Linked DNA regions of Arabidopsis thaliana. The protein of the gene in region 2 interacts with the protein of the main gene of each other region in a pairwise test. Each region holds a gene or a part of one and is shown on either strand. Other genes may lie near its edges.

What was found. The genes of interacting proteins can lie anywhere in the genome.
Region 1: the proteins of APL (region 2) and CBF2 interact in a two-hybrid assay, tested with the Arabidopsis thaliana proteins (one large-scale study listed by BioGRID).

Annotation. Positions count from the first base shown.
Region 1 is NC_003075.7:13,014,708-13,018,195, forward strand, and holds CBF2 (C-repeat/DRE binding factor 2), read right to left. Parts: upstream 1,529-3,488; 5' UTR 1,380-1,528; coding exon 729-1,379; 3' UTR 543-728; downstream 1-542. UniProt on the Arabidopsis thaliana protein: Transcriptional activator that binds specifically to the DNA sequence 5'-[AG]CCGAC-3'. Binding to the C-repeat/DRE element mediates cold-inducible transcription. CBF/DREB1 factors play a key role in freezing tolerance and cold acclimation.
Region 2 is NC_003070.9:29,876,717-29,881,159, forward strand, and holds APL (Homeodomain-like superfamily protein), read right to left. Parts: upstream 2,564-4,443; 5' UTR 2,420-2,563; coding exon 2,245-2,419; exon of another isoform or gene 2,155-2,244; coding exon 2,078-2,154; intron 1,942-2,077; coding exon 1,875-1,941; intron 1,746-1,874; coding exon 1,679-1,745; intron 1,593-1,678; coding exon 1,550-1,592; intron 1,453-1,549; coding exon 805-1,452; 3' UTR 512-804; downstream 1-511. UniProt on the Arabidopsis thaliana protein: Transcription factor required for phloem identity. Has a dual role both in promoting phloem differentiation and in repressing xylem differentiation during vascular development. Regulates the expression of the transcription factor NAC045 (AC A4VCM0).

The DNA.
Region 1 (3,488 bases), on a different chromosome or scaffold from region 2:
TTTACAATCTCGAAACATTTGTTATTTCCATAAATACTGTATATAAATCTCTTGATACTACTTATACACTATCACTATCTTGTATCTTTTGCTATTTTTTTTTTTTTATTTTTTTTTTGTATCTTTTGCTATTTACATAGGATCGTTTCTCAGTTACATTACTGCCTAAAGCTTTGACTAAATTAAAAGTGTCTCCGCATCCTTTTTTTTTTATTTGCAGACATTTTTTGAAACCCTTTTTTTTTTTTTTTGGGTCAAACATTTTTTGAAACGTTAGATATCTATATAGTGCCTATAATTTATCATATTTACAAAAACTCACGGAACTTTGGATATTTACCAAACGTCCTTGAGTCTTGATATTTGCTGAATTAGCAGAAAGGCAGAAACTGTTGCTATCAACCAACCTGGAACTTTTGCTATTTACATAAGTGCCTAGAACTTTTCTTAGACACGGAAATGCCAGAATCATCTAACTTTAATTTTACAGGTGAGCCCAAACTTTTTGTTTTCAATTCACTGAATTACGTAATAGTATTATATTTTGATTTGTTGCTTATGGGGAGACCAAAGATTATATATTCTGCACTCAAAAACATTTGCATTTGACAACAACTTTTACCATTTACATTCGTTTCTCACAACCAAAAAAAGAAGAAGATCCATTCTAAAAAAGGATCAAATGTATAAAAAGCTATAATACCAAAAATGGAAATAAAAATCGAATTTTAATAGCTCCATAAGGACACGTCATCATCTCCCTCGACATCAAAATTATAGTTCCATTGAACCGACGGCGACGGTAAAAGCATCCCTTCGGCCATGTTATCCAACAAACTAGACATCCCCAACATCGCCTCTTCATCCATATAAAACGCATCTTGGCTCTGTTCCGGCGTATAAATAGCCTCCACCAAGGTCTCCTCCATGTCAAGACCATGAGCATCCGTCGTCATATGACACATCTCATCTTGAAAATTCAACGCGGCTTCAGCCGCCGCCTTTTGGATTTCCTTGGCACAGGTTGATTCCGGGATTCGTAGCCGCCAAGCCGAGTCAGCGAAATTGAGACAGGCAGATCTGCCACGGAGAGCTATGGCGGCGACGTCGTGAGCACGAGCTGCCATCTCAGCGGTTTGGAAAGTCCCGAGCCAAATCCTCGTTTTCTTGTTTGGCTCTCTCAACTCACACACCCACTTACCGGAGTTTCTTTGACGAACTCCTCTGTAAATTGGGTGACGAGTCTCACGAAACTTCTTCCTTCCCGCTGGTTTCTTGGGGCAGCTCGTGGCAAGCTTCGGACTGTAATCACCGCCTGAGGAAACCGGAGACTCGTAATCGGAGCCAAACATTTCAGAAAAGGCAGAAAATGAGTTCATTGATCAGAAGAGTACTCTGTTTCAAGAAACTGGATAAGGTTTATGAGAGTAGAGTAAGTAGAAGATCTCTGTCTTTTTTTGTATGGTATGATAAAATATTTATTTCTCTATCTATCTTTCTTTTCTAATTCAGGTAAGTGTTTGAAGTTATAGAAATGTTGGAGTGAGAGCTTGCTGTTTATATTGGCCGGAAGATATTTGGATATTTGTGGGGTCGAACGCGGAGTTTCTGTCTCTGTGAATGCCACGTGGATAAGAAACAGCTAAGCGATCCCACGGTTTTGTAATTATCAAGGCTGTCAATCACTGAGAATCTGACATGTGTCCTTTGACCCATCTTGGGAAGTTTCTGACCCTTCACTGGTTGATGCCTTTAGGGTATGAATTTTTTTAACTTCTTATTGTATGAATGTGTGGCTGTAGTTTATAGGGTACGACAACCATTATTAAATATTATTTTTCCACGAATAACAAATTGTTTATAATTGTCGCTTTTCTATGGTAAAATAATTAGACATAATGATCCGTGAAACGAGATATTTTCAAATGCTCTTTCTGTCTTTTCTCCATTCACATATCGTGCATTGCAAATACTTCTAGAGTATAGTGAGATTAGATATTTGTGTCCTAAAAAAAATGTTATATTATTATTATTATTATTATATATATATATATATATTTGATTTAATTAATCAAGTTTCGTAGCATAGATATGTAAATTTAATTATTCAGAAAAATTTATATATTGTTTCAAAAAATTTGAATATGCTAGAGTAATTTCCTAAGATTCACGGAGGCTATAAACTTTTTTACTCAGGATTTCTTTAAGATATTGAGAAATGAGAACACAAGTTGCTTAAAATCGAAGGAACAAAAAGAAAGCTTTTGGATATTCTTTACATAAGTATACATACATGGTCGAGAATTAACAAGTGGCAGGGGTGTATTAATTGGATATATATGTGAGAGACAAGATAGGGTTTGTGTAATTTGGCAAAAGGAAAATATCAAATATGGTAAGTGGTTAGGCGAAAAGACATTTTGCATGTAGTTGATCACAATTTCCAGCATCTCTCTAACAAAAGTATGGTTCCTCCTCATACCTCTTCTCTTCTTCTCCCCCTTGGCTTAGACTTAGAGCGTCTTCGTCCTCTTTACTCTTCTTTTGTTCAACCACCATCTCTATCTTTTGTCCTCTCCTCTTCATCTTCATTTCTTCCAACCTTCTTTTTGGTCTGAAAACTCGCCGGACGCCACCGTGAGTTGAGTTTTCCGGCAAAGTAGAAAGGTAAACCTTTTTTACAGAACTTATTTGTTTTGTTTTCCTTACAACATACAAATTAAAATCATAAATGTTCACCGTCCCTTCGCTACTTGTCTAATAATAATCTGGATTATCAGATTTGCCAGAACAACAAAAATAATAATAATTACGAAGTAAACAATTTTATTAATTCTAAAGTCCAAATTAAATTGATTGTGGTTGATCTATTAACCCCGCTTATATATATTTTTTTTGTTTTTTCGCTTATATATTTCTTAAACTCGACTCATATATTTTTTGAGAAAAAAATACTCCACCGAATAATAATACAGGAGCATAAAATTACTAAATAAAAACTGGTTTAAGCCAAGGATTAGACCGATATAGTAGCAAGTTATACATCACTTTCAAATTCCAATAATAGCTATAAAATATCTCAAATCTCAACAACAGCAATAAAATATCTTCACAACGAACGTTTCTCTCTCTCGCTACCTCTCGCTATCAATTGTCGTCTCACGGTATTGACATATTCGGAGAAATAATACGACAAGGAATGGTGCGCGAAAGAAAGTGGTTTAGGACCTTAAGGTACAGAAAACGACAAACAAGATATTAGTATAAAAAAAGAAAGTAAAACTTGAAAATGACATGACATTGGTTACAAGAGGAGCCACGTAGAGGGCCAATGAAGGGGAAGCTACGGACAGTGCTCTCTTGTGGGACCCATATTTCTGTTTATGGTGTACGGTCTATTATTGGAGGTTTTGCTGAATCGGTTGTTTCGGTTTTATACTCTAATTTAAACAACATTTTTTTGTTACTGCTCTAAAAATACTTGCATT
Region 2 (4,443 bases):
ATTTTAGCGTAATCATATATAAGGCATCAAGTACAAACTAACTTGAGATAGAAATAACTAACTCATGAAAAAGCAAAGGGCCCTTCAAAAGCTTTAAAATATCGTACATGCCTTGAAACATGAGCAACCTAGCTCTTAACACATAAATGTTTATTATTTGTCATATATACAGTTACGTTCATGCATGGGATATATATACTGGTTAAGGTAATATACATATGTACTGATTTATCATATACATGTACTAGATATACTTTAGTACATTCACATTTTATATGCCTCTAATTGGCAAACTGTCAAATATGAAAATCGTACAAGTATGTACATATGAAATAAAATTGCGGATGTAAGAAATTAAACTTAATTTATTTGAAATTGCCATTAAAAAAAGCTATCAAACATAGAATATGAAAATAGCTAGTTAACCATAAAAGGCAACTACAGATTTTATGTGGGTGATAAAAGAATAACAAAACATATATTCGGCAATTCTACTGAGACTAACAATGTAAAGATCAATCATCAAACAGTTGACTAGAAGAAATAAGTAACGAATAAGTACAAAATATATAGATCCTAAAATATTATAAGAACAGCAATAATATATAGTTTCCGTACAGATTATAAAACACGAGCAAAACTAATCCGGTAAACATAACAAAGCTTATATATTTTTTATTTTTTTTTGTTTTGTTTTGTTTTGTCTCATCTCTAAACCCTACGTCAAACTCACAATGACAAAACATATATATCTCGTTCTTACATTCCCATGCATCACTCATAGATAAAAATTAATAAATTGTATCACCCAAATGGCGAGTTTCTTCCTTGTATTAATCCACCATTAGGGTTCATCATAGGACTCAATGGTGATCTCCTAGGCGATGGCCTTTCCAGTAATTTCCCACCATTATTCCCTTCATCACCTGATAAACCTGATTTCCTTTCGTAGATCTCCGACAAAGAATCCAAATCCGTGGAGACATGTGTAGCCATCTGTATCTGAATTCTATGCTCATCATCGATCGATTGGTTTGCGGAAAGATCGTGATCTTGATCAGACCACATCAATAGTCCTTTCCTTACATCGTTACCAAAATTAGGATTAGGTCGCTTCTTCCCCAAGTAAATGTTGGTGTCTGCAGCATTGTTACCCGTGAAATGGTTCTCTATGTTTTGATGATGGAAGTTGTGATGGTCGAGGACTTGGTCGGTTGTGTTTCCATAGATGTTTAGGTCTTGAAACGGCGGGAAACTAAGAGGATGAGGAGGTGGGCCCACCGCTGCTGAAAGACTCGAACTTCCCAGATTACCCTTGTATCCTCCTCCGACGGCGGCTGCTGCGGTGGCGGCTGCCATGTTCTCACCGGCTAGGGTTTGGCAAGCTCTCTCCAAGATAGATTGCATGTACTTTCCTTGTGCTTCAATCCTCAGTTGCAGATGTCTTTGCACCTATAAAAATTGAATGAAATCATTTACTATATTTATGGGATACAAATTGATTTTGTACAAGCAGTTATCATAGAATATCTATAGGTTAATTAATTACCTCTAGCTGTTCATGCAACCTTCTCTGCACTTCCATTTGCATCCTGATCAAACCAACCTGGTGTGAGTTGCTGTAATATATATTAAAATGAAAGTTGAGAAAATTAACGAAATCTGATTAAAATATTACTCATTCATGTTGCGACTCATCATGCCAGAAGAAGAAGCTACGTTGCGCTGAATATCCATGGCAGAAGCTACACGTACGGTAAAAAAAATTAGAAGAAGACGGATCAAAGAACATATATATACATTAATACATATCTATATTATGGGTAACTTTTTTATAAAAACCCTAATTTGATAGAGAAAGGAAGAGTGGTCACCTCTTGAACCTTCCTTTGTGGAGTGATCTCCGTACTCCTTGTGCGGCTGCTTTCCAAGCCTGAATTTCTGCACCCATAGATCCAAATAAGTTGTTAGATTATTATATTATATTATTAAGTGAAAAAAAGAATAGAAAAGATAAAGAGGAGAGAAAATTAAAAGCAAGGAAGAAAAAAACCCTAATCTATATTTGTGTACATACCTGAAGATGGCTCTTTAGGTGGTAAAGAGTAAGACCCTTCACACCCATAACTCTCATAATCGTCTTTGGGGTCGCTTCTGCAAATAGAAATGATCAAAAACTTTGAAAAAACACATTTATAATTGGTTAAATGGATTGAATATATATTTGTGTATGTGTGTTCATACTGTCGGGGCCGCCGAGCTGAGCGACGGCGTCCACAAAACGCTCGTGGAGTTCGACGGTCCAACGCAAACGCGGTTTAGGGTCGGTGGTGAGGACAAGGCCTGAATCGCCTTGAACGCACATAGCTCTGTTCTCATATGAACCATTCATACTTGAAGGTTTCTTAGCATGGAACATTCTCTCTCTCTCTCTCTCTGACTCTCTTTCTCTCTCTGAAAGAGGGGATTCAAGAAACGAATGTGATGCAAAAATGTGAGAGAATACGATGCGTTTTTGAAGAGATCAGATGACGGCTTTTTTTTCTCTCTCTCGTCTTTTTTGTTTTGTTTGTAAATAAATTATGGTTTAGTTAAATATGTTTTATCGTTAGTAAGGAAGAGAACTAAAGTTTCAGACTAGTACACAGACGTTCCTTTGTGAAAAGATACTGTCGCTATCTTTTTCATTTGTGTTTTTTATCCTCTTAGCTTGAATACCTTTGAATTTCTTTCAATATAAAATGTGTGTAAAAGCCACTATACGTATACATTAAGTAAATCATGTCTGTCTCAGATTATTAAATTACTGCGCAAACTTAAAATAATAGTATATATTAGATATTAAATTGATATCTTTGGGGGAAATTGAATTTTGAACATCGGAGATCTCATATCAAAACGGTTATGGATGTGACGACGAAAAAAACAAAAAAAAAAGACGAAAAAAAGCGGTTACGGATGTATCTAATATATATGCATGATTTGTTGCATGATGGTTTTTATTTCTTTATTTCCTGATATAAACATTAAAATGACTTGAGATATCTAAGTTAAAATATAATTCACCTGAATCAAAGATATTGCACATCTATTATTCTTATATTTTTGGTTTCTTTTTCTTTACTACCTTATAATTTAGAAGTAATTTTTAAATCCAAATTTATCATACAATTGTTCTATATACTATTTTCTTAATCATGCTTGATTTGGAGTAAATAGTAATCAAAGATTTGTAAATATTTTCTTTATAGGAAAATATAAACTTTTAAAGTGAATATATTAAAGTTCTATGTATTCTATTCAATTAAGACCGCACGAGGAGAGTCGTATACTAGACTTATAGTTTGTCTACATCGTCATATATCGTAATTGGAGGCATACATACAAATATCTTAACGAAACAAATTCCACAAGGCTAGGGATTTTATCATTTATGGTAGGGTAAACCTTTTTGGCTAATTATGAGGTGAATATACAATTCTAAGCAATGATGAGCTTCGTTATAAATTAATAGACCGTATATTTTTGGAACAAATTTATTATATACATGCAATCCAAAACCGTTAGGTACGGTGGAATATTTGTCTACGACAAAAACGTTTTCCATTCATCGATTAGTAAAAGATGTAGTTTACATCCGCAATTAACTAGCTAGCAAAAGAAAAAAGAAACAAAAAGGTGAACAAACGAGATAATTAACTAAATTACTTGTATGGACACTACAAACCAGAAAATCAACTTTGTTAATATTGCCCTATTAGCTACTAAACTAGCTTATGTATAGAACGACGATGCATTTTTCAATATACAAACTAAAATCATATATAATTCATATACGCAACGATTTAGATTAACCCCTAAATTCAATTGCATGCATGTAAAATAAATGGTCAACCTAAATATATATGAGTGGGAGGTCCCATAGCATATTTACATAGAACAAGAATAAGTCAATGAATATGGCTGAGGCTGATATGCACACACAAAAAAGAGAGAATATTATCTAAGAATAAAATTTGAATTGAATCAGAAATTTATTAGAGGTTATATATTAAGTATTAATTAAGGGAAAGCATGTACATGTTAAAATGTAGACCAATACCAGTCAATGAATATTGAATTAAAACAAAAAAATTAACATAAGAATATGGAACAATTTTTTAAAGTTATACATATTATAAACACGGACTATTAATATGTGGAGAATTATGCATCAATGTGTAAAGATAGAGTTAACGTTGGGGACCTCTTCTTCTACTTATTAAAGCTCTTTTATTCTTTTTATTTTTACCATATGTTTTTCTTCTTTTCTCCATTTTAATTTATTGGTTAAAGCTTGCTGGGGCTATAACCTTTTTTGGCTTTTGTAGGACTGACGATTGTGCAGCTATACATGGTAACACATTTTTCAGATATTAATTTCTTGGAATAAATAAAAAAACA